Pelodiscus sinensis: one gene and its partner. The protein of the gene in region 1 purifies or fractionates together with the protein of each later gene. This does not show direct contact. Links are inferred from orthologs where the notes say so. Each region holds a gene or a part of one and is shown in the gene's direction. Other genes may lie near its edges.

Region 1 (15,962 bases):
CTGATGTGGGCAGCGGGCTGCTCCAGCCCTGTGTGGGACCAGGAGCCAGCAGCCACATGCGGGGGCCAAGGGCAGGAGTTGGCAGCTACACGCAGGGCTGGGAGCAGGAACCAGCAAGCCCATATGGGGCCTGGAGCCTTGCAAAGCTCGGAGTCAGTTGTCCCATGGGCTAGGAACTACTCCAGCTGGGCTGGAGCAGTCCTCTGCCCAGGATCCTTCTTAATCGATTAACAGGCTAAACCTAACATTTAACCAGTTGACTGATTAAATGGGATTTTACAGTGTCAAGTCTGGATTGGAGCTAATTTCTTGGGAACCAAGTGGAAAAGGTCTCAGAGAAAAACCCAAACAGGTGTGAACAGAGCAGCTCTGCAGGGTCTGTTTGCCTTAAACTGTGAGCAGCAGGAAGAAAAACTGGCACAAGGGAACAAGCCAGCACATAGGACTAGTGACAATGCAGTGCTTAGTTACAATTCAGAATAATTTAATTTAAAAACACATAACAAATATAATTTATTCTGGAGTAAATGTTGATTGCTGTGTTGAAAATAAAGTACATACTCTCTTCATTTGATTATACAATTTCCAGATTTTTTTAAAATTAAATTCCCGATTTTAATGTGCTCATTTTCTTGGCCATTTGCTACAGGAGATTATTTATATCAAGAAGTTGAAAATGTAGAACTGTGAAGGAGAAGATAGCTTACTAGAAGAATTTTTGTATACTAGAAAAATTTTTGGATTCAGTGTCTGGTGAGTATATTTAATGAAGGAATATCTTGATCAAATACCAAGAACGAGGCTGTGGTATTCTTAATTTTTAAGCTTTAAAAAGACCCAAAGCCACATAGTAATGAATGAGCCTGTAATGGTGTGGCTGAAGTGGTTAGGTCCTATGACGGTGGTGCTGGTATAGATATGTGGGCAGAGTTGGTACTGAGGTTTATTGCAGGGATTGGTTCCAGAGTTAAAGTTACTGTGGTATTGTGTGTAGTTGCTGGTGAGAATTTGGTTCACGTTGGTAGGTTGTCTGTGGGCAAGGACTGGTCTACCTCCCAAGGCCTGTGAAAGTGAGGGATCATTGTCCAGGATGGGTTGTAGATCCAGGAGTGGCCCGAGGCTGGCTGTGGCAGCTGGTGCCCTAGGTGGAAGGCGTGATCGGTGCCCCGCCTGCACGGCTGTCAATGGCCATGACGTAATCATCGGGCACCCGGGTGCCCCGTGACATCATCATCGGGTGCCCAGGCTGGTGGCGCCCTAGGCGACTGCAGAGTCTGCTTAGGCTCACGGGCCGCTCCTGTGTAGATCGCTGATGATGCGTTGGAGAGGTTTTAACTGGGGACTGTAGGTGATGGCAAGTGGTGTTCTGTTATTTTCTTTGTTGGGCCTGTGTTGTAGCAGGAGGCTTCTGGGTATATGTCTGGCTCTGTTGATCTGTTTCTTCACTTCCTCAGGTGGGTACTGTAGTTTCAAGAATGCTTGGTGTAGATCTTGTAGGTGTTTATCTCTGTCTGAAGGGTTGGAGCAAATGCGGTTATACCTAAGAAGCTGGAGGCATGTAGGTAGGCATAGCGGCCCGTAGGTTTTTGGTATAGGGTGGTGTTTAGGTGACCATCACTTATTTGCACTGTGGTGTCCAGGCAGGGGATCTTTTGTGTAGACTGTTCCAGGCTGAGGTTGATGGTGGGGTGGAAATTGTTGAAATCACGGTGATTTCCTGCGGCACCATCACAACACCTAACCACATCAGCCACACCAATACGAGCTGATTCACCTGCACATCTACCAATGTAATATATGCAAATCATGTGCCAGCAATGCCCTTCTGCCATATACATCGGCCAAACTGGACAGTCCCTATGTAAAAGAACAAATGGACACAAATCAGATATAAGGAATGGTAATACACAAAAACCTGTAGGAGAACACTTCAATCTCCCTGGACACACAATAGCAGATTTAAAAGTAGCCATCCTGCAACAAAAAAAATTAAAAAACAGATTTCAAAGAGAAACTGCAGAGCTACAATTCATCTGCAAATGTGATACTATCAGTTTAGGATTAAACAAAGACTGTGAATAGCTAGCCAACTACAAAAGCAGTTTCTCCTCTCTTGGTATTCACACCTCCACATCAGCAGCTAGAAGCGGGCCTCATCCACTCTGACTGAACTGACCTCGTTATCTCAAACCTTACTCTCGATTGGAACTCTTTTCTTATGCTTATATATTTATACCTGCCTCTGGAATTTCCACTACATGCATCTGATGAAATGGGTCTTTGCACACGAAAGCTTATGCTCCAATAAATCTGTTAGTCTATAAGGTGCCACAGGACTTCTCGTTGTTCTTGCAGATTCAGACTAACCTGGTTTCCCCTCTGATAGTAATTATAGAATGGCCTTGGGGTGAAAGATTGACTACAAAGTACCTACTAAAATCCTGGGTAATAGTTTAAAATTATAGGAAAAGAGGTCAGGAGTAGGTTATTTAACAGAAGTAAGCATTAGATAATCTTAGCAAAGTATTGGCTTCAGTGTCATACTGGAGTCTAAAGATAATTGGAAACAACAGGCAATGATATCATTAGACATATCATTAGACATTAGGCCTTTGATAGCTGAATAATTGTGTCTAGACTGTGTCCTTAGGTACACTGTGTCAAAGTTCAGATGTCTGATTATATTTATTCACATCCTATTACAGATATACAGTTTCAGATCTCCTTTTTTACTTCACAAGTACATAAGTTAGTATTACTACTAGTTGCCACTCCTCTGAAACTTTTAGAAGTCGTTCACCATCAGATACAGAAAGCATGTCTGGTGCTAGAACGCGTAGCAGACTGCATTTTTCCCCTTTATTCTAACAATTCTGTTGTTACACAGACATACTAAAGAACAGTAAGTAATAATTCATCAATAAGCGAGTAATCCAAGGAATATTATTCCTGAAAATTTAAAAATCATGGAAGTTTGGATTGGGGAATCTATATATATAAACTAAACAATTCTTAATCAAAATTTTATTTTTACCAAGAATTAACAATTCAGATATTTTTGTATCTTGGAAATGTAAATGAATAACAAATAATGTATTTAGGGATTAAGGTAAACAAATTAATATGGCTGGGAAGTATTAGGATCTGATCATGCAAAATATTAAGGTACATTCTGACAGGTAGAAATCCAAATCTTGTGGGGTAAAGTAATTAGAACATAAGAACATAAGAATGGCCATATTGGGTCAGACCAAAGGTCCATCTAGCCCTGTATCCTGTCTGCCGACAGTGGCTAATCCCAGGTGTTCCAGAGGGACTGAATTTAACAGGTAATGATCAAGCGATCTTTCTCCTGCCATCCATATCTATCCTCTGACAAACAGAGGCTAGGGACACCATTCCTTACCAATACTGGCTAATAGCCATTTATGGACTTAACCTCCATGAATTTATCTACTTCTTTTTTAAACCCCATTATAGTCCTAGCCTTCACAACCTCCTCAGACAAGGAGTTCCACAGATTGACAATGCACTGTGTGAAGAACTTCCTTTTGTTTTAAACCTGCCACCCATTAGTTTCATTTGGTGGCCCCTAGTTGTTATATTATGGGAACAAGTAAATAACTTTTCCTTATTCACTTTCTCCACACCACTCATGATTTTATAGACCTCTATCATATCCCCCCTTAGTCTCCTCTTTTCCAAGCTGAAAAGTCCCAGTCTCTTTAATCTCTCCTCATATGGGACCTGTTCCAAACCCCTAATCATTTACGTTGCCCTTCTCTGAACCTTTTCTAATGCCAATATATTTCTTTTGAGATGAGGAGACCACATCTGTATGCAGTATTCAAGATGTGGGCATACCATGGATTTATATAAGGGCAATAAGATATTCTCTGTCTTATTCTCTATCCCTTTTTAAATTATTCCTAACAACCTGTTTTCTTTTTTAACTGCCCCTGAATACTGCGTGGACGTCTTCAGAGAACTATCCACAATGACTCCAAGATCTCTTTCCTGATTAGTTGTAGCTAAATTAGCCCCCATCATATTATATGTATAGTTGGGGTTATTTTTTCCAATGTGCATTACTTTAAATTTATCCACATTAAATTTCATTTGCTATTGGTTTCTTTTCAAAAGATGAATGCTGTCTCTCAGATGCTTCCTATGGTGGTTAGGGATGCATATTTTAGAAAGATGAAGGCATTTATTTTAATGTTTCTTTGGAAGGAAAGAAAGACAAAGTTTTTAAATTTAAATTTATGGAAGAAAGGTCCATCAATGCTTATTAGCCAAAATAGGCAGTGATGGCATCCTTAGCCTCTGTATGCCAGAAGCTGGGAATGGGTAACAGGGGATGGATCACTTGATGAATACTTGTTCTGTTTATTCCCTCTGGGGAACTTGGCATTGGCCCGTCTCAGAACATAGGATTCTGGGGTAAGCAGATCTTTGGTCTGACTGAGTATGACTGTTCTTATGTTTAAGACTTCTAAATTATGTACCATATACTAGAACACATAGCTTTAAACTTTCAAGAAATCTCAATGAAATCATTCTGGATCCCATGTATGAATCCAGCTTCATGGGTAGAGAGAAAATAGCAGCTCAAGAACAAAAAGGGAATAGTGAATCTGACTATATTCGAAGTACTGTACTGACAAATGCCTAACATAAAAGGGAAAATTTGCCTCTAATCTGTTAATTATAAATTTTAGATTGCCAGTGGAATCCACATGCTTAAAGTCACGCACATACTTAATAATCTTGCTGAACTGAGACTACAGTAGGAAAAACATTTTAGTCAGAAGTAAAATGTTTGAATTGCTTATTTAAATGTGCCTATTTAAAGTTCTAAACCAGCAAATCCTGATGTGTTCAATAAATTTGTTGAATCCAAATAACAAAATCATAATAATCCCACGTGTCAAATTCAGATCTGTGGACCTTTTTACTGATCCTTCCAGTCAGCCCTAGACTATATGTTGTGGAAAAAAATTGTCAACTGATGTAGCAAAGCTGTCTGTTGTTCCATTTCAAGCTATACTACACACTTACAATGACTTTTTCAGTGGTTAGGAAACCACATGCTGAAACCTTTTAAGTTCTTGCCTTGACACCAACCAAACTGCAGGTGGTTCCAATTTTAGACTCATGGCAAAAACCCGACATGGCAGGCATCCAGGAAAACTGGCAGACTGCAGAAGCTAAACACAATGCTCCAATTTACTATCTTTGGAACAGCTAGTTTGATGTATTAATTAATCTCTGCTGTGTCACTCATACTTTTGCTAAACCATAATTTAAGGACTAGAGTACATTAGACAAATATGTCAAGTTTAGTTTGGGGTGTCTATCTCAACCTGCTCGATTGTATTAAAAGGCATTACAATGCACCCATGCTAGCAATGTCATAGTAAGGTCAAGGTTACTTGACACACCTGGACCTTGCTTTCACACATCTTTCTATGAAGACCAACTCTAAGAAAGGTGCTACTGAACTACTTTTTTTTTATAGGTTACAGACTAACTAGGCTACCCTTCTGTGACTTCTAAGAGAAATAGTTAATTTTTTTCTTAAGAAATTGATACATTTAATAGTAAGTCTACTGGGTCATTTTATTTTTTAGTAGGTCCTAAATCCAAAATCGACACTATGCCTAAATTAACAGTATAAACAACGAGAAGACCTGTGGTACCTTACAGACTAACAGATTTATTGGAGCATAATTTTCATGGGCAAAGACCCACTTCGTCAGATGCGTGAATTCAACAAAATAAGGCATCTGACGAAGTGGGTCTTTGCTCATGAAAGCTTATGCTCCAATAAATTTGTTAGTCTATAAGGTGCCACAGGACTTCTCGTTGTTTGTGCAGATTCAGACTAACACGGCTACCCCTCTGATATAAATTAACAGTGTTTGTGTGCTATTTGTTCTGTGCTGAATAATCAGGAGTCATCAGTTGTATGTTATAACCCCTACACAGATAATAGTTGAAAAAGATTCTCCCTCATTCTAAGCGACAGATGTTTGAGCTTTTGGAGCATGAAAATCTGAATCCTAACTCTACTATCATGGTGAATTTCTGAGCAGCCTACTGTGCAGCACAGAGGCAAACAGGAAATCTTAGATTTGATGCATTACCTAAAGTGGCATTGGCTTCCCTTTTGTTTCACGTATACCCATCATACAGTTTTAAACAACTTGCCAGTAATGAGGTGGTTTAATACAATTAAATCCTCTGTTTCTTTTTTGTCCAGATTTTTAGGCTGATCTTTAATTTGATATTTTAATTGTATACTTTGGTTTAAGAGAGAGGTCATAGTGAATCCTACTGTTTTCTATTCTAAGAAATATTGTAAATGCAATAGACAAATCAATTCTGCTGGTGTGATGTTGATTTTTAAGTAGTTACCACTTATTGTTATTTGTCATTTTTAATTCTGTTTTAATAATATCTGAATTCCATGTTGATCCATTTTTATTAACATTTTCATTTCTAAGTGTAGACTAGCAATGATAATAATTAACTTAAAGGAAGTATTTTTAATTTTTGATTCCTAAATATTTCACTCTTCATGCAGCTAGTTCCAGGAAATGTTCATGGAAAAAGCAAATGAAAATTGCTGGCCTTTCATGAAATGATTCTTTTCTACATCACATAACTTAGTGGGGGGAAGGACCATGACTGGCATTTCTTGGTGCTACTGCAGCACAAATAAACAAACAAATGCACATTACTACTATTGTTGACACCAATGGAAATACCCCAGCAGAAATTTGGAACTTTAAATTGCAGAGAAGTGATACACAGGTTATATGCAAACACTTCCTATCAATAAGTGGTTGATTAATCTGATGCATAGTGTGAGCTGGTAAAAATGACTGGTAATTCATTGTGCTTTTACAGAGGATGAACATACATGTTTAATAAACTCCAGGATAATAAATAACATGCTAGCAACAGGGTTAATACCTCTTGGCCCATTTGGGCAGACTATTATTCAACAACTTCACAGGAGTATTGTGAGAAAACTTAAGATAATGTTTTTAACATTCATTGAAGATGTGAATAGCTATTTATTAATAGTGATTAACAAATATATAAATGAACTCTTTACTATTATACAAAATAATTATTATGTTAATAATGCGTTATTCTTCAGTATTAATACATGGAAAACAATGACCTGTTTAATATATAATTAAGAAAAATGCATATGATTTGATTACTGTTACATCTATTATCAATTAAGCATACTGTCATTCATTTTGTAACTGTGTGCGCTTATTAAATTACTGATGATTTTTAAATGTATCTATTAATTATAAATGTGATTATGATTATTAAGGATTTAAAACATTTTATGTCTCTATGAGAATTTTAGCTACTGATTAAGTCTGCTGGAAATCAAAAGTCTATGGTGCCTATCTAGTAAGATTCTTAAGAAAGTGCCTAATTTTAATGTCTGAGCTGTCTCAATAAGTATTTTGGGATTAATACTCAAATATAGGCATGTGCTTAAGATTCCTGCTCAAAAGGGTTTGTATATCCACTTAGGCAGCATCTACAGATTTCCTATACACTTCCTCATCCACATGTCAATGTGCCTGAGTTCTGTCCTGCAACAATTCCCCATGGAGGATAGCAAAGGAGTTCAATTTCCATTGTCCATTTATTCCTTGGTCTCTGCTCAAACTGCCAGTGAGGAAAGAAATTAGTGCCAAATACTGATGGAGTTATGGTGTTTATGGGGAGTATACAAGACCATATTTTTAACTACACCTCCTATCACGGAGTCCCCAAAATAGCTATTGATAATGACTTTTTATCTTGATTGACTAAACGTGGTTCAGATTCTGGCCATGTCACGAATCACCAAAAGGGGTTACTTGCTACAAGTGTACCTTGAAGTTGCAGACACATTGCTAACCACAAAAAACTTGTACCCTCTGGAGGCTCCAGAGTCTAATCCCAACCACATCATTAGCCATCAAAGAACCTTTACCTGTTTTGGGTGATAGGTTTGAATCCTGTGGCTACACCAGTAATGTAGGTGGGAGGAGGATAAAAGTTGCCAGTGGCAGGTTTGAATCCCAACCATGTTACAAATAACAAATTATTATTATAACATTGTATCTTGCAGATGGGGCGTTCTAGTGCCAGCCACATTGCAAACCACCCAAAAGCCATTAACTACTGCAGGTGGTGGGCTTGGTTCCAGATTTACCCATTTTGCTTACCAACTCTGCAGGTGGTGGGTTTGAAACCTAACCGTATTATTAACTATACCAAAGCCAGTATTCACTGCAGGTTATCTATTTGAAACCTAGCCATGTCACTAATAATGCCAAAGCTGATACCTATCATAGCAACTGGGTTTGAGACCTATCCATATAATGAACTATGTTGCAGATGGGTTTGGGACTTTGTCACACTGCTAATGATTCCAAAACCTATGCCCACTGAAACTGGAAACTGTGATACCTAGTCATACCGGTAACCATGCCAAAGTCAATACCTGTTGCAGATGGTGGGTTTGAGACTTAGCCATATATAATTAACCATGCCAAATCCAATAACGTATACAGATGGTAGGTTGGAGACTCAGCCATATCATTAACTATGCCAAGTCAATAACTGGTGTAGGTGGTGGGTTCAAATTCAGCCATATTATTAACCATGCTAAAGCCAATAACTAGTGCAGGGAATGGGTTTGAGACCTAGTCACGCTGCTAGCCATGCCGAGCCAATAACTGGTGCAGATGGTAGAGCTGAAACTCAGCCATATTATTAACCATGCCAAAGCCAGTAACTAGGGTTGCCAGGTGTCCGGTTTTGAATCGGAAAGTTCAGTATTTGAGCTTTCTGTCTGGGAAACAAATTGAAAAAATATAAATGAGAAAATATAAATGTCCGGTATTTTCTAAATAAGATGTAATGTAGACTGTGATGTCATCTCAAGTGTGTCCGCTATTTTTGTTTAAACCATCTGGCAACCCTACCAGTAACTGGTGCAGGTGATGGGTTTGAGACCCAGCCATGTTGCTAGGCACGCCAAAGCCAATACTCACTGCAGATGACGGGTTCAAGTCCTGACTCCAAATGCCCTTTGTCACCTGTAGGAAAAGTTAGGATACACTGGAAACTGGCTTGGACTATTGACTATTTGGCCTCCATGAAGTAGTCCAAGCCTGGCAGACCTGCTCGCCATCAGGCCCTTCAAAGGCGGCGTTGGCTACCCCTTGGGTCCCTCCCTCCCAATTCTCCCTATTCTCAGCTATTTCTGGACATGTGGGAGTGGGGTCAACCTAAGAAAAAAATCCCCTTCTGTAACCAGCCTCCCTCCCAGAGAATCCCCCCCAAAATTGTGCCTCAGACAAACTTCCCCATGACAAGGTAGGCTGCGCTTGGCTCCCAGTGATGTCACCCCAGTCAACCAATCAGAGGACAGCGTTGGAGCTGAGGAGGAAATGACGTCACCGTATCCCTCCGCCGGCCCGGTCTCCTTTTTGTGTGTGTGTGTGTGTGTCTGTTGGTTCTTTCTGTGTGTATCAACCTGCAGCTTTTTTTGGGGGGAAGGAGGGGCAAAAATACTGGGGGGGGAGCTCATGCAACCTACCCTCCCCTCCCGGCCATTTCTCCCTGTAAGAGGTTGTGTGGGGTGCGTATCACTTTAAGAGCGTGTGCGAGCGAGCCAAGCTCGTCTGAGGAGGCGGCGGCGGCGGGAGACGGAGAGAAAGGTGAGTTGGCGCGAGTCCGTTATGTGGAGGTGGGGGAGGCGGACGCTGCAGAATCAACCGGGGGGGGGGGCGATACGAAGGGGCGGGAGGAAGAGGTTCGTGGCGCGCGCGCACGACAAGAATGCGGGTGGCGGTGGCCGTTGGAACCGGTTCGAACCGCCCGGGTCTGGGAGCGGGTGGGGGTTGGGGGGGGGCAGCGCGCGCCGTACACAAAGCGGCCGCCAGACGCGCCGAGCGGGGAGGGAGGAGGGAGCGCGAGCTCCGGTGTGGGAGGGAGGGATCGGGGTTGCTGAGGGGAGGGGGGAGGAGCTGTTCCCGCTGGGCGGCGGAATATCTGCTCGCTCGCTCGCCCGCCTTCGCTGACTGGGGAGGCGGAGTGATCCGCATACCCCCTCCTCTCGCTGAGGGGGAGGAGTGAGGCGGCTTTGGCTGCTCCCTCCGCTTCACCTCCCTCCCTCGACTGGAGACGAACATAACGGGGTTAAACCCTGCACAGAGCAACCCCTGAGCTGTCGCAAAGTGCCTCCCACGCTACCCTCCTGCTGGGTGCCCGGCCCTGCGGGGAGCAGGATCGCATTTTTTCTGTCTCCTTGCTCCCACCCCTTTCCAAGGGCTGCTGCTGGGTGGGCGGCCATGTTGGGCACAGGGATTATTTTCTCTACCTTTCTTCCAAAGCAGCCACAGTAAATGGAAACTAGCCTGTTTTTACTCCTGTGGGAAAGGTGTTATCTCCATCCTCTTTCATGAAAATGAACGCGAGGGGGAGTCCACCTCATTGCCCATCTGAGAGTGAGGGGGGCTTTTGGCCTTCCTGCTGCTCCCTCCCCCCCGACCTCCACAGTGAGCCCCATTTTTTGCCTACACACCCCAATGATCCCTTTGGGCTGCCTGCTGCTCTCCTCAGAGAAAGGAGGAGTTGATTGGCATGGCTGTCACTCCCAGAGGGTACTGCCTTAATGGGGGAGGGGGGAGTTGCCCTTGGCATACTTGCTGCTCCTAGGGCCGGATTAAGGGGGGGGAGTTAGCTGGGCAGTTGCCCGGGGCACCTGATGGCAGCTGTAAGGGGTGCTGTGTGCGTGGCGCCCCTTAGAGCTGCCATCAGACGCCACATGCCCGGGGCTGTGGGCCACACCGCCCCTTAGAGCTGCAATCAGGCGCTGCACACCCGATTGCAGCTGTACGATGCGCCATGCGCCCGGGGGCAGAGTCACACATGCATTGCATGCCCGCTGCCTGGGGCGCAGAAATGGCTCAAGCTGGCCCTGGCTGCTCCCCAGAGTGGGAGGGAGTTTCCTTAGCGTGCCAGCAGCTTCTGTCTATGAGGTGAGTGTGACTTCCCTGTGCCTGACATCTCAGTGAACCTGGAGGTCCCCAGAACGTGCTTGCCATTCCTCCCAGTGCAAGGTGAAGCCATGGCTTCCCCGCTGCTTGGAGGGAGCGACTCCCCTTTTGCTTGCCTACTATTTTCCCCCTTTCAGAGTGGATGTCTGAGAAACATTGGACACCTGATATTAGGGCACTTTTTAACTTGCCCTCTGTTTACTCTGTTTTGCTGGGTTCTAGCATGAAGAATATGTGGGGATTAGGTACAGACATGAACATCCCATGTGCACCAACACCAAGCTCTCTGCTTTATGAACTTGGCAGCAGTTGCTATCACCAGTCTTCATCAAGTTAATTTTTCTCACAGGCCTGCTGCTCCTTTTGGGGGACATCCTGCAGGCATTTGAAACTAATGGCCCTTCTTCATTTCAAATCCTGCTATCCACTGTCTTTGTTTTTCCCCATATATACTTGCATGTGTGTATGTATGGATGCATTGTTGGTATATATGAGCATCACAAATGCTCAGACTCTGGGTCCATATAACTAGACCCCTGAATCCACAAAGAGCTTTGTGGGGAAGGCAGGCTCCTCCTGCACAGTCATTTGCAAGATCAGTGCCAAAAGTGATGAGTATGTTACAAGAACTTGAAGCTCATGGGCAGGCCCAGTCTCCCAGGAAGATTCTCCCATACCCCGGATCTCTTCTATGAAATCCCAATATTATAATGCTAGTCTAGGTGCACATGTATAACAGAAAGCAAGTTAAACACGTTTTTTTCATTTGCAGCTCACAATGTAAGAGCAGATAATTTAACATGCAGTAATACATTTTAATTAATAGGTATTATGCACTGAAAAATCTTTAATAAAACATGTAGCAACCCAAAGTGATAACATTTGTAGACATTTTAATATACTCGCTAAAGCAGGGGTAGAGAACCTCAGGCGCAGGGGCAGGATGCAGCCCTGGCCCGTCTGGATCCAGCCCCTGGGGTTCAGGGCTCCTCTCAGCATTGGGGAGCCCATGCTGGTGCTTCAGTTCCCTTGCAATCCCCCCACAGGGCTGGAGCACATAAACTCTACTAGCTTGGGCCCCTCTAACCTCTGGGGTGCAAGGGGAATGTGAGGAGCTTCCTCATCAGTCATGTTTTTTTTCTTTGCTTCTCACTTATGTGTGGCCCCCGAATGATTTTTCTGTGGGTTAGCGGCCCCTGACCCAAAAAAGGTTTCCCGCCCTTGCTTTAAAGTAATCCTGATAGCCAGTGAACTGAAATGAACCACCTCAGCCAATGAAAAATAAATTTGCCTTGCTCTAGACCAGAGGTGGGCAAGAGAGCCTCTGTGGGCCAGATCTGACCTGCAGATGCCCTGCCTCTCCTCCGCCCCCATGCCAATCGGCCTCCCCTGCCAGGGGTTGATGGCTCTTACAGTAAGCGCCTTGCAGGGCGAGCACAGAGAGTGAGAGATTTCGCCTCCCCCCCCCCCCCCCCGATCAATCAGGGACTGGGAGCAGGGGAGTGCTCGGAGGGAGTGCACCTCCTGCCTTGCAAGGGGTGCATGGTGCCTCGAGTGAACTGCCAGCTCACCCTAGGCACTGCACCACCCCGGGCAGGGCATGAGAGACTTCAGGCACTCCCCCAGCCCTGATTGATCTGAGGGCGGGGGGAGAGGGGAGTGTGTGAAGTCTCCTCCCACTAGTGGGTGGGTGCATAGAGGGAACCTCCAGCTGTTGAGAACAGCTGGCAGTTTTCTCTAGGGGGGAAGCGGCAGCAAAGAACACACTCCCTCACCCCCGGCCAATCAGTCTGTAGGCGGGGGCGCATGAAATTATCCTGGGCCTGCCCCTTCCGGTGTGGTTTGGGGCCACTTCAAAAATTTGAAGTGGCTCTCCTAAAATTATTGCCTACCCCTACCCTAGGCTTGTTTGATTCTTATCTTAAACAACTCTGTTCCCTGACTTACTTCATCTAAGGTGCTGTAAAATGGTTAAAATACTCATATCAACAGTTAAAGCATCATAGAAAACTTCTTACTGATCCTTTGTTTTTCAACTAATACATAGTCTGATATAATTTTATATCCAATATGCTGTCTTGGCATATTACTCCTTGAAGTCAGTGGGCATTTTGCTAGAGTAAAAATTGCAGGGTTTGTCTCAATAGCAGAGGAATGTGTCCTGTCCTAATCATGGGATTAATTTATTATATTATTTAATTGTTGTCAACTATCATAGCTCTTGCAAAGATAAAATAAAATACGTTCCCTGTTGCTGAATGCTTACAATCAAAATAGGGGGATGACCCACAGAAGACAAGAAACAGGTTGACCGTTTAGATGATGGGAGTGTATGAGGGCAAGAAAGGAGGTTGGATAGAGAGAAGAGGGGTGCTTCGAGGAAAAAGGTCAACTGACGTTTGATACATTTATACATTCCATTTATATCTAGAATTTTCCTTGATAAAGAACCCTGTGAGGCATTAGGGTTTTCATTTTGTTTTTCAGGTGAGGGGGTTCCTTCTTAAAAACAATTATTTTGTTTTCAGGTCCACCTGATCTTGTTTTTTTAGTAAATGAATGAAAATGTAATTGGCCATTACATATTAATGCAGATTTTTTTTCATACTGAGAGAAAAACAGTAGAGTTGGGGGTAGGACTGAAATGTTAGCTGGGATATATTGTAAGTGCTCTCATCTTAAGATTTTGGTAGCAAATCCAGACTGGTATAAAAAATCGTGCATCAGTTTCAGTGGCCCTGTGGGCATTTTTGTAGGCACAGAATCATCAGACCACAGGTGTGTGCTGGGCACCTGCTTCTGACATATTTCCTCTTCTGTCCCCATCACAGAATGGTCCCTGGCTGAGAGCCTTAGAGAGGTTGCAAAAATCTCCTTTTGCCTGTTCTTTGTGTCCTTGCGCTAGTTCACCTTCGTTGGCATAAAGCTGTGATGTAGGGCCAATTGCCTTCAATAGATATTTTGTCTAAAATATGCAGATCTCAGTCCCTTATTATCACAGTAAAATTATCCTGCTATATTCCTTGGGGAGAAATAAATCTGGACTTGTAAATCAGGGTTCATAGGTGAGCCATGTTTTAGTATTATTTCCATAATGGACATTCACTCTGAAATTGCAAACAGTGGACTATGAGCATGATATCCCCATTGGAATCATTGCAGAGTTTTGTCTAAAAGATAAATTAAAAATACTATAGCCCAATATTTGCATAGATATCTGCCGTCATCATATGCCCTGTAAATTCACAGGAAGTCAAGTGCTTCTGACCGTGTTCATTGTATTTGGGTATGTCTACATTGCATTCCTCTTTCGAGAGAGGAATGCAAATGCAGACGAACAAAATTGCAAATGAAGCGCGGATTTGAATTTCCCACGCTCCATCTGCATAATCGTGTCTGGCTGCTTTTTCGAAATACGCTATTTCGAAAAAAGAAACGCTGTCTAAACGTGGTTATTTCAAAAGAATACCCTCCCTTTGAAATTACCCTTTCTTTCGAAATAACCACGTCTAGACAGCATTTCTTTTTTCGAAATAGGGTATTTTGAAAAAGTGGCTGGACGCGATTATGCAGATGAAGCGTGAGAAATTCAAATCCGTGCTTCATTTGCAATTTTGTTCATCTGCATTTGCATTCCTCTCTCGAAAGAGGAATGCAATGTAGACATACCCACAGTAAATAAAGTTGTTTTTTTTAATTAAAATCCAAATTTGTGAGCATGTGTGGTGGTGAATGTTGTTTAAAATGGCATAATTTGCATTCTTAATTAATAATTTAATGGCGCTGAAAGGTCACAGACTGGAAATCTGTTTCCATTATGGTTTGATTCTATTTTTAATAATGAGGGCTTTATGTTTTGTGAGGCAGTATTAACTAGTGGTTGGAGTGGGCAGGGTCAGAAGTTCAAGCTCCTTGATTCTCCTTACTGCTTTTATATAATTGCTATATTTGATCCTGGGCAAGTCAATTCACATCTCCTTGCCTCAGTTTTCCCCATCTGTAAAATGATTATAAAAATATTTCCCTACCTCATTTGGATGTTGTGAGGATTATTCCAGAAATTACAATAATTAATTAATTGGCATTATTTATGTACAAAATTATGATTTAATTTTAAAATAAAGTTGTTTTTTAACCATGTATATAGTAGGATGGAAATTCACTTGTGGTCTGATATTCTGCCCCAAGACTGCCTGTGTCAGAGATGATGTCATTATTTAGCAGAAAGTGGGCCATCAACTGTGGCCTAACTAGTGCTCATTTATGTAGATTTTTTTTAAATGATAAAGTTTTGTTAAAGCTTATGCACCAATAGCATGTCCTGTCATGCAGCTTTCAAGAACACTGTAGATGGAATCTTGAATTTGCAGTCAGTCCTTTAAAAAGTTTGAGGGAGATGGGAAAGAGGTATAACTTATTTTGTGTTCAGTAATATAGACTTGAGAGGGAAACAGTAAATACTGTAAATTAGATATTTCAGAGAACTACAGCTGTCTTATTCTACAGCTGTCATGTAGACTCCAGTACACACAGGTGCTTCTTCTGATAATGGAACACATTTAGGACCTGATTCTCTTAATTTACTTAGATCTGTATAAATCCCTACTAACTTCTTTGAAGTTAATAGAGTTATGCTAAGGTAAAACTTCTTAATTTATGGCCTTTTTTGGAGATAGGATTTGAATTAACTGAATTTTGTTTGGTGAGATACTTTTTGAAGGTTTAAAAATATCTCTTAATTTTTAAACCAAAATGAAAAACTTCTTCTTTCTAGATGTTTTGTCAAGCTTTCTGGAGAAAAATGGCAGTTCATAATTGTTACATTTTATATCTATCTAATTGTGCAGGATGGCAGTTCATTAATTAATAAAT
Region 2 (16,200 bases), on another chromosome or scaffold:
CCCAGAGAGCGAGTCACCCTGGGGTGTGAGGTGTTTGTGGGGCACCTTTATGTCTGGTGTGGGGGTGATGATACAAAGCTGGGCAAGGAGCAAGACCGACAATGTCCACTCTGTATACGCGCAGCCTCTTCCCTTCTGGACGTTCCCTCTTTCTGGGATCCTAGGTCTGCACAAACCAAATGCAAAAAACCTTAGATCCTCTACTGAAAAGTCTTCTCCTCCTCGGACCATGCGGAGCGCTGGCTTGATCGAGCCCCCATTGCTTGATACACTCTGAGGACTGGGAAACCACTATACCTTCCTGTTTTCCAAAGGGATAGTCCCATGTTCCTTGCAGGCTCCTTGGTGGTGCTTCTTGTGTGTGGGGTGGGGGTTAACTCTTTCTTGGTTGAGCAGGGAGTGCATGTGGGACTGCCATGGCACATCTCAGTCCTGTTTGGACATGTCCCTCCTTAGCGAGTAGGCTAATGTTCACAGAGCTAAATGTTCTTAGCAAACTGCTGCCAGGACACATATTTGGTTCTGTGGCAGCATGAAGAACTAACAAGGTTACAGGGGAGATGCACCAGAAAAGCCATTAATCAGAGAATCTCTTAGCCTAGGAGAGAGGCTAATGGGATATAAGTGTGTGTGGGGGGGGGGGGGGGGGGGAGATAGTAAGTGGCTTATGGCACAGAACAAAGACAGATGAAGATTTAATAAGACGCAAGAGTCCCAATGGAATTAGGAAGACCGGTGATGACAAGGAAGAGATCACTGTAGGTCCACTGGTCACCTCCCTGATAGGATTCATTTTGTCAAGTCCCTATAAGCCAGTCCAGTGCGTTCACTCCCTCCCTAAGGTCACTCCCTCACCCCCAGACCAATCATTGTCTGGGGGTGGGGAACTCAGAAGTATCTTGGCCCAGGGACACTTGAAAAATTTCCAAAGTGGCATCCAGCAAAAAATTATTACCTACCCCTGATCTAGAGCAAATAGCTGTGCACAGACATGGATTAAGGTCTTCATAGTCCCTAGGCATCCTCATAATCTTAGGCTTTTAAATTAGATTATATATAAATATACAAGAGAGAAATGTCCTATTGCCTATATGCCTAACATCACCTACTTTAATTTCCACTCTTGAAAGTGATGCACTGTGTGCGCAATTCATGGTACTTCATTCTAAAATAACAGCCATTTTGATGTATACTACCATTATACTTATGATGCACCTGATAGTTAATCAGTTGATATGGGGAAGTGAAGCAATGTTGCCACTGTAAAATCAACAGAGCAATGCATCCCATTGATCCATCAACTTCAGACCTAGAAAACAAAGCTTCAGGACATGTTGAAACAGATATTATTGAGAATAGTGTTAACCTTCAAGGTCTAGTGAGGAACAAGCAAGGGTCAGTCACTCTGCTTCAGAAGTGGCAGTGACAATATCAGCAGATGTGATAAGAGAACAGATGCCAAAGAAAACAGCAGATTTTGTCACAACATTAAATATAGTTCTGATTCAGCTGAATGGGAAATAACTCCATATTTTATAAAATATTTTTGCAGAAAATATACCTTCCCAGAATTTGGATTCCACTTTTTCATTGATGGATAGACAGGTAAAAATAAAAGATATGCACACACAGAATTTTTTCAGGCAACTGGCAAATGGAGAAACTGTCCAAAGAGAATGGCTTCTTTTTTCTCCCTCAGTGGGTAAAGGGCATTGCTATGTATGCAAACTGTTCTGTGTCAATAACTACTCTAATCAATTTTGATGATTGGAAAAATGCAGTCACTAGAATTACTTCTCATGAGCAGTTGAAGGATCATCTTGGCAAACTGTCAACAATGCTCCAGCATCAGAAGTCTGCCTGAATTGATGCAGAACTGGAGAAGGTGAAGGAAAGATCATGTAGATACTGAATTGAAGTCCTAAAGGGAATAGTTGGTGTAATAAGAGTCCTTGCTGAATGAGGACTAGCCTTTTGTGGGGACACTGAAGTGCACATCTGCCCTAACACTGAAAACGACTTTGGTTGCACTGAACTTCTAGCTGAATTTGAACCATTTCTTTCAGAACACATGCAACAACATAGAAATGCAGGAAGAGAGAATGTGTCTTATCTTTCATCAGCTATATGTGATGAATGTATTGATACATTGAGATCCAAAGCCATGGTACAGAATAATATCTGAAATAAAGAAGACCAAGTATTATGGAATCAATATCAATTAATCTGATATTAGTCACACTCATGGTGGCGGGTAATGTAGGCAAAGGATGGCATTGCCTTCCCAAAACTGCATAAATTCCCACGGCAATCCAACTCCCCAGCCACCCAGGAAGACATGGGCTGCAGTGCAGCAGCCTGGCTCCCTCACCACTGGGGAAGGCTGGGGCTGCAGCTAGGGCCACAGTGCAGCAGCCCCAGCCCTCCAAAGGGCCAGGAAGGATCGGACTGGGGTTTGGTGAGGCTTGGCGGCACAGGTGGGGAAAGGTTGCGGAAGGGGAGAGGCTGTGGCTTGCCTTCCCTAGCTGGACCCTCATACAGCACCCATGGTCACACTGATCAGCTTAAAGGGGTTTTTTTGTTATGTATTCAGTGATGGAAATGTGTTTAAGTGATCTTTTGCAGGATATTCTCCAATCTTATGGCATTGATATTGTAAGCTGCATGTCACAATCATATGATAATGCCAGCAATATGAGTGGCATTTATTCAGGGGTTCAAGCTAGGTTTCATGAAGTTTAACAGTTTGGCTGACTAGGTTCCATGCACTGCACATAGTCTGAATGTGTTTGGATCAGCTGCAATGAAATGTTGCTCTGCAGCAGTCAGGTTTTTGGGGATTTTGTAGTCACGCTTCTCAGTTCTTCTCAGCTTCACCCCAAAGATGGTCTAAATTAGTAAAGAACAGGAAGTAAAATCCCTATGTTGTACAAAGCATATCAGAAACAAAATGGTCAGCACAGAGTGATGCCTCCAGAGCACTTTATGTGAACTATTCTGTATCCGTCAGACTTTGATAGACATAGCTGAAAGTGATCAACAACCACCAGCAGCTGTCCATGAGGCAGTCACTGACTAAGAAGCTGGATCAGTTTGAGACAGCTTTGATGTATGTCATATGGAACAACATACTACAAAAATTTATTCTCATGAATTAAGCTCTACAGGAAGCTGACATTGAGTCGTGCACTGTCATTAATTCACACTTTCTTCATGCTAATGATAAATTCAATGTTTGAGGCAACTGCAAAAGATCTCACACCATCCAACTATAAGAGACCACACAATGCAAACAGCTGAGAAAGCAATTTTTTATAAAGTGTGTATGGATAATACTGTCTTGGATTTGAGTGCCAGTGCCAAATTTCACATACATTATTCTATCCTATCATGTAAACTTACCCTTGAGATGGTCAGAGGATGAATAACATATGCCTAATTGAATGAAGGGTTCTGTTTTCTTGTTGATAGATCAATGTTCAGTGTTGAAGTTGCCTCTAGAACAAGGGCATTGATAAATATCTATCCAGCAGATTTTGAACATGCATTTACAGATGAATTTCTATTGTTCTCGTGTGTATGTATGCAGAGAAGAAATCTGTGGCAGAATTGATCAGCGCACAAATAGCAGACAAATTGATGATGTACGATAAAAATTTCTGAGGCACGCTATGATATTGTTAAGAACTCCTATTCTAAATTTGGAGTCTGGGACTGGCACACAAACACAGTACATTTGTACATTTTACATCTGTAAAAGCATTTGCACAAGAGGGCTTTTGCTCGAATGGGAGCAGCATAGCATTTCCGCAAGAAGCACTGATTTCAGACAGTAGGAAGTCAGTGTTCTTGCGGAAATTCAAGCGGCCAGTGTAGACAGCTGGCAAGTTTTTCCGCAAAAGCATTTGCTTTTGCGGAAAAACTTGCCAGTCTAGACGCAGCCTGTAACTTTATATTATTGCTCTTATTTTGCCTCACAATTAGCACCTATCCGGGTTTCAGGATCTTACCCCCACCAATCACTTTGGTCTGCCCATTAAGCATCCTATATAATTAATTGTAATCTATGGTCTGGCAGTGTTCAGTGAGCCCTAACAAGTGATGTGACACTCTGCCATCACTGTGTGTGTAATAAACTCTCCTGATTGCTTCACATAGGGTGTCCAGATTCTGTTCCTTCAGTGACAGGTTTTCCAAATGTCACCTTTGCTTTCAGGATATATCTTGCCATCTTGGGAACAAACTGTGAAGGGAGTGCTTTTTTTCAAAGTTAAAAAAATATAAAGATTGGTCTTCGGTCTATTATGGGACAGAAATTACCATTTTCACTTGCACTACTTCCAAACAAGAAAGAACTTTTGAAAAAAAATACATTTGGTAATGTAATCAGTGATTTTGCTAACAAAGAATCCCAAAGTAAATATTGTATGTTATACCTGTATGCTGTTTTTGACTAAAAAAAGTGAATTATTAAGTTTGATTTAGCCATTTTCTTACTAAAGTCAATTATGAATTTTTTAGGCTCTAAACTTTTTCTTGGGCCATAGGTACTGTCTATTTTGCCTAATAGATAAACTGGCCAAGGCTGTGCTCATCACTCTGCTCACTGCACCACTTTGATGGGGTGCAGTCACAGAAGACCCCTTGAGATTGTTCCCTGATGTTCTGATTATGCCACTGATACCTGCTTTCTTGTTCTCTGGGGCTCTCCACTACCCTGTCCCATTGGGCCAGATCCTCTGTTCTCCCCTAGATAAGGCAGAGTGTTGTGATTACTACCCCCCTGAAGTACAGTGCAGACACTGAACCATTTCAGCTCTGGGAGAATGCAGTTCTAGGTCACACCATCCAGGAAACCAACCCCCAAAAGAGATCAAAACCCCAGATAAATCCATCTTTGTTTAAAAGTTTTACACAAGGAAAGCTCATGAGGATGTTCACGCTCTTCATCAATGAAAGAGAGATATGCACACTAGTCATTCCCCTAGGCAGCAATTATTTACACTGGGCCTGATACCAAATTAAAGTGTTTTTATTAAGGACAAACAGTAGGATTTACGTGGTTGCAAGTGAAAACGGACACGTCAAAGTAAGTTACTAAGTTAAAAATAAAGTGCATAGCTAGTGCTAATTCACTAAAAAACGTATTGCGAGCACATTCTTACCCTTATAAGCTGTTCATATTTAGGCATAATCTTCAGGTCAGAGACATTTTACCCTGACCTGGTTCCCAGCCCCTTGTATCTTTCAGGAGTTTCCAGACTAGCCAAAGACAAAGGGCTCATTGATTAAATAGTCTTTCCCTCAGAACAGGAAACTTTTGTTCAACACTCCCCGTTCCCCACTTTCCATGGAAAACTACCAAAGTAAGGCTACGTTTAGACTACGAGGTTTTTTCAGGATATCCCGAAAAACCCCACCGCATCCAGGGAATGCGTTTGCACTTTTTTTTTTGCGGAAGTGCAAATGCACTCTTTCGGAAGCCCCAGTATTCCTCCTTCCACCAGGAAGAAGGGGGCTTCTGAAAGAGGGTTTTTTCCCAACATTTGGCCTAGTCTAGACAGGCTAAAAGTCGGAAAAGTCTCTTCCGACAAAAGAATCAGAAAAAGCTACACAAAATGCGGAGTGCATTTTGTGCAGCTTTTTCCGACAAAACTTTGTTGTCTAGACCTAGCCCCAAAGTGGAATCCCAGTACCAGATGGTATGGTCACGTGTCTTACTAGTCCAATCAATTTTGGACTTACAAGACAAACAAGGCCATTTACAAGTCGTTAAGTTGATCACCAAGTCATTAAGGCTTGAGGGAGAGGTAATGGCTCTCATTAGCACATTTGAAACTATAAGCAGTCTCATGCTATGTATTTCTAACTTTACATACAGGAACGATACATGCACTGAAATAGAATTTGTTGATTATGTGAGGCATTTCTTCAAAGCATCTCTGAGTTATGCATATTAATATAAACCAATTTTCATTAAGCATGGGGGGACCTCTTTATTGCCTAGTAGTACTGCTGATACAAAAGTCCAATACAAGCGCATTGGAAGCATGTACACCTGCAGTATTTGTACACAATCACTTGAAAGAGAAACAAGATACTCTACTATGTAGCTAGTTGTATTAATGTGTAGTATTATTGTGTATTAAGACTCACCAATTTTGCAAACCCCTCTAAAGTAAAAGATAAGACTTTCTGAACACAGAGTTTTCCTTTTAATAGACACAAATAGGCTATGTCTAGACTGGCATGATTTTCCAGAAATGCTTTTAATGGAAAAGTTTTCCGTTAAAAGCATTTTCGGAACAGAGCATCTAGATTGGCACGGACGCTTTTCCGCAAAAGCACTTTTTGCGGAAAAGCATCCGTGCCAATCTAGACGCGCTTTTTCGCAAAAAAGCCCCGATCGCCATTTTCGCGATCGGGGCTTTTTTGCGGAAAACAAATCTGGGCTGTCTACACTGGCCCTTTTGTGCAAAAGTTTTGCGCAAAAGGACTTTTGCCCGAACGGGAGCAGCATAGTATTTCTGCAAGAACACTGACAATCTTACATGAGATCGTCAGTGCTTTTGCGGAAATTCAAGCAGCCAGTGTAGACAGCTGGCAGGTTTTTCCGGAAAAGTCGCTGATTTTCCGGAAAAACTGGCCAGTCTAGACACAGCCATAAAGAATAATTTTTTAAACTTCTATTCATACATCATGATAAAAGTAGACTTCAAGTCTAGGCTGCTGCTTTTGATTGACCAACCACTAGAGGGAGACTACAGCAAACCAGCGTTACAACACTTCAGGAATGGAGATTGTAATTCTGAAATGTTCTTAACTCTAAATAAAACATTATGGTTTCTTCGCACTGAACATTAACAATACAGTTTTGAAACTTAATTAGGCAGAAGAAAATTACTGCTTTACTTATATTTAGTAGTTTACAATTAACACAGCACTGAACTACATCTGCTTTTTTATTTGTTGGTTACTGCTGCTGCCTAATTGTATACCTGTATTCCAAGAGAGTTGTATTGTTGACTCCTCAGTTTGTAACGCTGGTATTTGTAAACTCTGAGATTCTACTAATCAGTTTTGATCAGTTCTGACTTTCCACGTAATGGGTGGCACATACTTGCATGCTAATTAGTGTATTATGTGTTATCCACATCATGTTAATAAAAGAAGCAGGACTAGGTTTCACTGTCCTCAAAATATCACAGTTATACCTGCAAAGGAGTCACAGCTTTTTTGTGCTGAACATAGTAGCCTTTTCAGGTAGTCCCCAAAATGATTAATGGGGTTTAATGGACACAATTAAATACTGACAACCTAGGAAAAGAAGGGGGAAGAGACTCCCTTTGGGTAAGTTTAGACTGCAGAGTTTTTCTGGAATACTGGAGGTATCCAAGGAAAATCTTAAAAAAAAAAAATCAGAAAAGCAGATGTGTTTTTTCCACATCCCTGTAAACCCCCTGTTGCTCATCCACACTGCCTTCTTGTGCAAGAGGGCTTATTCCTCTGGGGAGAAGAATAACTCTTGCCCAAGAAGCCCTCTGTTCCAACGTATTCCTGTAAATTTACTTGAGCAAGAACGCATGTGCAGTGTAGATGCACCATAAGTTTTTGCGCAAGAATGGCCATTCTTGCACAAGAAGCCTGCAGTGTAGACATAGTCTTGAAGCCTGAACATAGCAGCGTCTACTACCTCTAGAACTAGTGCTAGGCACCACCACCCACCACAAAAATGCCTTCCATTTCCCAGTCCCCTCCCACAGTCTCTCAAACCAACCCACAAACACCTATTTAACATCACAAACACACAGGTGAGCCATTGATGCTACTATGGATTTGTCGATGTTCAGTTAAGACCTGAAGAGACATCGGCCTGAGGAGGAAACAGCTCTGACAGCATCACACCTTCTCAGTGGCATTTTCAATCCCTATGTCACAAACAAAAGCCAAACCCACAGCGTCCAGTTGCATCTTGTGTAAGGTCTCCAGCTCTGTGTTGGGCATTTGCTGAGCAAGCCTGGCATTACACAACTTAACTCAGTTGGGAAACGGCAAATTCCCAGTATAGCCATCAGTGCCTCAGGCAGCACAAAGAAACCCCAGAAAGTGCAGGATGTGTGTGGGGACGAGGGAAGTGCTGAGTGGGGAGGGGGGCTCTGGCACAGCCTGAAGGTGTGCAACAGATACTCCCCTCCACCACACACCCATAGCAGCCCCCTCCCGGAGTCCCTGCAAGGGGAGTGTTTGGGCAAAGGCTCAGGAGACATCCACATGCAGCCCAGGTGATTAGCAGAGCGCCCTCAGCTGGGTTTTCCCAATGGTGGTGCAAAGTTTATCCCGCCCATGGACAGAACACAGGCTACGTCTACACTGGCATGATTTTCCAGAAATGCTTTTAACTGAAAAGATTTCCATTAAAAGAATTTTCGGAACAGAGCATCTAGATTGGCAGGATGTTTTTCTGCACTTCCGTGGCCAATCTAGACGCGCTTTTCCACAAAAAGCCCCAATCGCCATTTTTGCGATCGGGGCTTTTTTGCGGAAAACAAATCTCTGCTGTCTACACTGGCCCTTTCGCGCAAAAGTTTTTCGGAAAAAGACTTTTGCCCGAATAGGAGCAGCATAGTATTTCCACAAAAGCACTGACAATCTTACATGAGATGGTCAGTGCTTTTCCGGACATTCAAGCGGCCAGTGTAGACAGCTGGCAAGTTTTTCCGCAAATGATTTTTTGGAAAAACTTGCCAGTCTAGACACAGCCAAGGAGCTCAGGAGGCACCAGCTGGTTCCCAACAGGCGCTGGATCCGGCGCGCCCAGCAGGCTCCAACCCCTGCAAGGGATCCCGCACCCCGCGCTCTCCTCCAGGCGCTCAGCCCCGGACCTTTCTAACGGCTCCAACCGCCCCCGCCCTCTTGGCGCCATGCACGCGCGCGCGCGCAACGGCAAGGAAGCAGAGGCACGTTGTCGGGGGGGGGGGGGGGGGGGGGGAGCGCCCGCGGTCTCGCGCGGCGGGGGGCGGGGCAGAAGCAACGGCGGCGTTTCCGGTTGGGCAGCGGGAAGGGCCGGAGACCCAATAAAGCCTCCATTGTGTGGGCGCGCGCCTCCCTTCCCCTTCCCCCCCCCCCCCCGGGAGCGCTCACTCCGGCCTGCGAAAGCCGCCGCCACCGCCGCCATTGGAGGGGCCGCGTCCGCCCAGGGGTCTGCCCGCGCGCAGAACCCCCGCCCGAACGGAGCGAGAGTCACGTGCTGCCCCTCGCGGTGAGTGCGGGGGGGGGGGGGGGGGAGCCGCGTTCTCTAGGCAGGAGGGGGCGCGAAGGCTTCGTAAACACCCCCCCCCCCCCGCGCGCGCGGCTCGGGCCTTTCCCGCTGGAGGCTCCTCCCCCCCCGCGGCGGTAACGCGTTCGGGGCCGGTCATCGCCGACCAGGCTCGCGCTCAGACCCCTCCCCCCACTTCGGGGCTGCGGTGCCCCCTCTCCCGCGCGCCCCCAGTGCTGCGGCTGGCGGGCCCCGAGTCGGAAGTGCGAGGCGGCTGCCGCCCCGTGGGGGTGTGAACTGCCCCCCCCCCCCAGCCAGCGCGGTCTGGATCCAGCCTTTCCCTGTGTAAATCCTTCCCTCCCCCCCCAGCCCGCTTCAGGCTCGTGCTGAGGTTACAGGCGACAGACACGCTGCATCGCACTACTGCGGGGAAACACAAAGCGGGCATTGAAGCAGCCTTTCAACCCCCAGACCTGAGCCCGCAGCCGATTCTCATTGCCCTAGTCGCGAGGAAAACCAACACAAACAGTTGCAGAACGAGCCTGTGTTACCGAATTGCAACGCTGCAGGACAATGTCAATAATCTCAAGTAAGTAAGTTTCTCTGTAGCAGGCAGTTTTTAAGGGACAGGCCCTATCACTTACCAAAATCAAGGGTATGAGTTGTTTTATCCCGTGTGTTCTGTAGGGACAGAGGCACTTCATTTATAAAATTGCCACTCTCAGGAAATTGTTTTTAAGTGTATAAAGAAGCCCAGAGCAAGTCTGTTGTGTGGAGTTTTGGAAGTGGATCCTGCTGTGGTTTGTGTGTGATCTATGCACACTTTTTGGTACATCTGTGAAGGTGGGCAGCAATGGAATATAAATAGTTGGTGCTAGAGATGTATATATCCATTTAAAAAGTTTACTGGATTAACAATATAATTGTAATACTTTAACCTGTTAATTGTGCGGCTGGGGTCCAACCAGCTCTTCATGGGTGTGGGGGGGACTTCTCTGGACAGAAGGGATCCCCCCTGCTCTGGCTGGACAGGTTCTGTCACACTGTGCAACAAGCTGGGGGCTATTCTGGCCTGCTGAAGTCCTGGTGCCTGGGTTGGCTGCAGGGAGCGTCTCCCTTCACCCAGCCCTTCGGTTAATTAATTGGTTATTGGTTAATTAGATAATCATGCTGATAAAGCTAATGCTTACTAGTTAACCTTTTGCATCCCTAGTTGCTGAAGGTTCCTTAGTAGCGGTGATGTTAGGAGAGTTTAGGGAAGGAATTAGAACATTAAGTAAGGAAAGAAATTAAGATGCGATAAAGTGAGAGGGAGTAGTTCAGGAAAATTTGTTCGGCTATTATGTATGGATTTTGCCAATTTAATTTTTCTTTAAAGCTAAATTGAATCTGATTTGCTTGCAAAATAATAAACCTTATATTACCAAGAAAATGTTATGCTATTAATCCTATTTCAAATATTTCTGAAAACTACTTGTCTGCTATGGGATGAATTTAAGTTAAAAATTCTCTTTCAAATAAATCTGTTTAAAATGAAAAGTGGAATTATGTCAATCTATGCTGAGGCCTAAATTTACTAGAATCTGTTAAATGTATATAATTAAAAAAAATCGAATAGCAAAGTAAAAAAGATCATGTAGTAAAGAAGAAATGCACCTTTTTCTATAATAACAAAGTTAATATACATTAAGCTAATTTCTTAAATGCATATAGATATAGCATATTCTAGAAAATAACTTAAAAGTACATGTTTCTACAAACCAGACGAAAACTGCTTATTTAACACAAGATTTCTTGTCACTTTATTCTTAAGAAAGCACTAAAGTTACAGATCTTTGCAAATTAACAGATATCTTGAGATGCACAACTCTGTAGTCAACTGTCAGCCTTTCTGTGTGTGAAATTTTAGGCTAGGCCAAGTCCCTTCTGTGTTCTCTCTCCAGCTGGTGTTTCTTGCATGTGGAAATGGATGGTCCCTCTGCTCACAGTAGCGACCTCTTTGTTTTCATCATGTATCCAGGCTGAGGAGCTGTAGATGTGCAAACTCTGCTGATGCTTTTGTGTAGAAAATCCATGGAGTTGGTCAGCTGATAAGAACAGTCAGAGTCCTAGCTTGTTAGACCTTTAGTCTAGTTCTTCAATGAGGTGACTAGCACCTCCCCTGGGAAGGATATTATTTCAGAATAATTAAAATAGACTTTTCTTAGGCTATGTTTACTTTGCATTTTGATCTATTTCTTGTCAGGGGTATGAAAAAGCACACTGCTGATCCATGTTCCCTCTAATTTTGTGTGTCCATTTGTGAAATGAATTTTGCTATGTGCACCAATATGGCGAAGATATGCAACGTATCAAATAACAAACAAAATTCATTTGTAAATGGATGATCTGTAGCAGGTTTGGTGCTGAGGGGTTCGGAGTGTAGAAGGAGGCTTAGAGTTGGGGGGGATGAGGGTTCTGACTGCTGGTGCAGGCCCTGTGGTGGGGCTGTGGATGAGGTATTTGGGATGTAGGAGGGGGTTCCAGGCTGAGGCATGGGGTTTGGAGCACTAAAGCAGTCTTAGGGCAGAAGGTTGGGGTGGAGGTGCTTGATTAGGCAGAAGTTTGGTTGCAGGAGGGGGAATCAGGATTGGGGTGTAGGATCTAGGAGAGAGTAGTGGACCAGGCTCAGCTGGGGCTCAGGATAGGGGTGTGTGGTCTGGGAGGATGTTATGGTGTGGAAGGGGGCTCAAGGCAAGGGTGCAGGGTCTGGGAGGTGACAGTGTGGGAAGGGCTCAGGTCTGGGATTGGGGTGTGGGTGGTTTACCTGGGGCAGTTCCATATAAATCTTGTAGCAGTACAGCTGTGCAGCTCTAAAATCTGTAGTGTAAACAGTCTTCGTCAATGTTACACCTGTAAAGCACATAGCACAATGTGATGTTTACAATGCACAATGTGATGTTTACAATACAAAATGTAACTCCCACTCTGTTACAGACTTACCTTATTTTTATGCTTCATTTGTGAGACAATACAACACCAAAGAATAGTCTCAAACCACAGAAATTCACATCAATAATTCAACTTCCCAAGAAGGGTTAGTAATATACCATATATCCAGAAATTCTGAAAACGATTGCAGATGAAGAGAAAAAGAAGTCTGAGAACAAAAATTATAGAACAGATCCATATGAAAAGATGGTGAAGAAATTTCAGATGGTTTAATATAGAGGGGGATATAATAAGATGTGTATATATAATAAGTGGTATAGAAAACATACACATCTTCATTCTTTCTTGCAATACATGGATAAAGTGTTCATAAAGTTAAAAAGCAACACATTTAGTACACCTCAAAGAAAATAGTTTTCACATAATGTACATATCACCTGTGGAACTTATTAGCACAAACTGTTCAAACCAGTAGCTTAGCAGGATTCATAAAAGGGTTGAATATTTAATATGGATAGTAAGACCATCCAGAATTATAATAAGGATTAAAATAAAACACAAAATCCCAATTTTTTTAACTCACATTTCCCATTCAGTTTCTGAGGTTTCAGAATATAAATACATCAAAGCCATGTCTTCCACAAAGAAAAAGGCTCAATTTTTTAGGTACAATTGTATGATGATTTTTCTGTACATTTGTGAAGGATTTTTTTCTCAGTCTGAGAACACTGACTGTTATTTCCAGGCTGGGTATCCTATAGGCACTACCTCAATACAAATAAATAATTTACTACCATACAGATATTTTTCTCCTAGCTTAAAGGATACCTAAAAACAGGTGAAAATGGTAACTACAGTTAAATTCGGTCTTCTGTTTACAACAATAATTTATCCGGAGATCTTATTACATTATTACTTTTCACTATTAGAGACATTCAGTTGAAATCTAGTCCTTTTTTAAAATTAGTTAAGTTTTACATGCATTATCTGTATTAATCTCTTTGTGATTTTGTTTTGTTTTTACAGTCACAATTTTTTATTTTATAAATGTTATTCCCTTTCCCTGGTGTAAAAGATCCCCCATCAGTTGCAGAAATCATATATACAGAGGACTGTCAAATGCAAACCTAAATAGGAAATATTTTTTTCTCTCCTTTTTCAGTGTTGGTAATTCTAAGTATAACAGTAGCAGGTAGACTTCAGACAACAGAATGGTTTTGTATCTGACTGTCATTTTGTATGTGTCAAATGCTTTCTCATGAAAAATAGTTACTGTATGGAAAGTAGGGTTTAGTAAAAGGTGAAAGATTTATATGAGTTGAAGAGAAACCAGAGAATCAGGACTGTATGATCCTGTTTCCACCTTTGTGAAATGCATAAAGTGCTCTCTAATTTTCAGATGAAATGTAGTATAAGTATTAGCCTCAGGTCAAGCAAAGAAGTGTTGTCAGTTGAATGTGATGGCACGAGCTAGATATTTGTTACATAGGTCCTTTGAATGTGGTTTATTTGTAAAGTTCCTCTGCTGATAGATAATAGCAATCAAGGTCGTGTGGTAAACAATTTAAATTACTTACACAATCTCTCTGTGCAGTGACTTGCAGACCTAGGGGATATCTGCGTTTGTATTTCTTCATGCAGGAGGTTATAACCATACCAAAGTTATTAACTCCTTGAGCAAAATAATTTATTACATTCATATATAAATTTGCTATGTAGGAGAAGTAAGTGGATTTTGTGTAGAAAAAAATTCAACTGGTGATTAGTTTTTGTAACTGACTTGATAGTTTGTAAATGTCTGGATTGGCTTGATTTAACTGGCTTTAATTTTTATTCTAGAAAAAGAGAAGTATATATCAAACTAATTAAAAATGAATAAACATTTTAAAAGTAAATTTATTATTATATGAGCTAAATATGCAATCCTTTATCTCTATTGCAGGAATACTGAAGTTTGCTGTTTGAGATTTGTAGTGCTGTGCAAGCTGCAACTTACCATAGAAAAATGGAAATGTTCCAGATACTGCGTAAAACATCAGAGCGTTTAGAATGTGATCACTGTAGTTTCAGAGGAACAGATTATGAAAATATACAAATTCATATGGGTACCATTCACCCAGAGTATTGTGATGAAATGGATGCTGCTGGTTTAGGTAAACTTATATTTTATCAGAAAAGTGCAAAACTTTTCCACTGTCACAAATGTTTCTTTACCAGCAAGATGTATTGCAATGTTTATTATCACATCACATCACAACATGCAGTACCTGAAAAGTGGAATGAAGACCAGAAAGATCAGTTAGAAGCTGAGACTGAATCCTTGAAAACAGCGCTCATTCAGGAACCACAAAAACATGCTCTTTCACCTGAATCACACAAGCCTGCCCTTTCCCCAGAACTCCCCAAACCTGACCCAGTTATTTCCCCCAAACTTCAGAAACCATCAGTGTCCCCTGAGCTGGAGAAGCCAGCCTCAGTGGGATCTCCTGAACCTGAGAAGCTGGCCCCAGCAGTGTCCCCTGAGCCCCAGAAGCCTGCCTTGGCAGTATCTCCTGATTCCATTAGGCATTCCTCAGCGGTGTCTCCTGAGCCCCAGAAGCCTGCCCCAGCGGTGTCTCCTGAGCCCCAGAAGCCTGCCCCAGCGGTGTCTCCTGAGCCCCAGAAGCCTGCCCCAGCGGTGTCTCCTGAGCCCCAGAAGCCTGCCCCAGCGGTGTCCCCAGAGCCCCGCAGGCGTTCACCAGCAGTTTCCCCTGAGCCCCGAAAGCGTTCACCAGCAGTGTTCCCAGAGCCTCAGAAGCCCGCCCCAGCGGTTTCCCCTGAGCCCCGCAGGCGTTCACCAGCAGTTTCCCCTGAGCCTCGCAGGCGTTCCCCAGCAGTGTCTCCAGAACCACGCAGGCATATGACTCAGACACGGAGGCCTGCTCCTGCTTTGTCTCCTGAGCCTCGCAGGCCTGCTTCTACAATTTCCCCAGAAGCATGGAGGCCTGCTCCCTCAGTTTCTCCTGAATCCTGGAGACCTGCCACTGCTATTTCTCATGAGCTACAGAAATCTGCTGCTGCTGCCGCCTCTCCCTGGCCACAAAAACCTGCCCCAGTGGTGACCCCTGAGCCACGAAGGCCAGCCCCGGTGGTGTCCCCTGAGCCACGGAGGCCTGCTCCTGACCCGTGGAAACCTACATCCTTTTCTGATTCCCAGAAATCTGTTTCATCTGAGCCATGGAAACCCATCTCCTCTGTATACCCCGAAGGCTGGAAACCTGTTCTTTCTCCTGATACTTGGATGCCTGCTCCCCCTGTTTCACCCGAACTCCGAAAACCTAGTCACATTGTTTCCTCTGAAGTTTGGAAATCATCTTTGTTTTCTGATCTTCGCAAACCTGCTCCCTCATTGTCTCCTGAGCCCTGGAAACTTTCATCTGAGTCCCGGAAGTCAACCTTCTTCTCTGAGACTCAAAAGTCTGCTCCCTCCATTTCCCCTGAGGGACAAAAACGGTCCCTCTTCCCTGAATCCCGGAAAAGAGCCCTCTTCTCAGAGCCTCGAAAATCTGCTTCTGCTGCTTCGTCTGAGGTACAAAAACGTGCTTTCTTCCCCGAGCCTCAAATATCTGCTCTTCCTGTTTCTCCTGAAGTCCAGAAAAATGCCCCCTTTACTGAGTCCCAGAAACCTGTTCCTTTCTCTCCTGAAGTGCAGAAACATGCCTTCTTTCCAGAGCCTCAGAAACTTGATGCTGCTTCCCCTGAAGTCCAGGAACATACTTGCTTGCCAGAGCCTCAGAAAGTTTCTCCTGCTTCCTCCCCTGAGATCCAGAAACCTGTCCCCTTTGCTGAGTCTCAGAAACCTGCTAGTACTGTTTCTCCTGAGGTGCAGAAATATGCCCTCTTTACAGAATCCCAGAAACCTGCTCCTGCTGTTTCCCCTGAGACACACAAACAAGCCTTTTTTCCTGAGCCACAGAAATGTGGTATTTCTCCTGATGTTCAGAAGCATACTCTGTTTTCTGAGATCCAGAAAC

Evidence for each region.
Region 2: the proteins of POGZ (region 1) and CHAMP1 purify together in Homo sapiens (affinity purification with mass spectrometry; 4 studies listed by BioGRID and IntAct, with this or other methods). This does not show direct contact. The link is inferred for Pelodiscus sinensis from reciprocal best matches to the Homo sapiens genes POGZ and CHAMP1.

Annotation. Positions count from the first base shown.
Region 1 is NC_134734.1:15,202,840-15,218,801, reverse strand, and holds the start of POGZ (pogo transposable element with ZNF domain), read left to right. Parts: upstream 1-9,486; 5' UTR 9,487-9,749; intron 9,750-15,962. UniProt on the Homo sapiens protein: Plays a role in mitotic cell cycle progression and is involved in kinetochore assembly and mitotic sister chromatid cohesion.
Region 2 is NC_134711.1:236,211,942-236,228,141, reverse strand, and holds the start of CHAMP1 (chromosome alignment-maintaining phosphoprotein 1), read left to right. Parts: upstream 1-9,025; 5' UTR 9,026-9,259; intron 9,260-9,625; exon of another isoform or gene 9,626-9,727; 5' UTR 9,728-9,845; intron 9,846-14,129; 5' UTR 14,130-14,192; coding exon 14,193-16,200. UniProt on the Homo sapiens protein: Required for proper alignment of chromosomes at metaphase and their accurate segregation during mitosis. Involved in the maintenance of spindle microtubules attachment to the kinetochore during sister chromatid biorientation.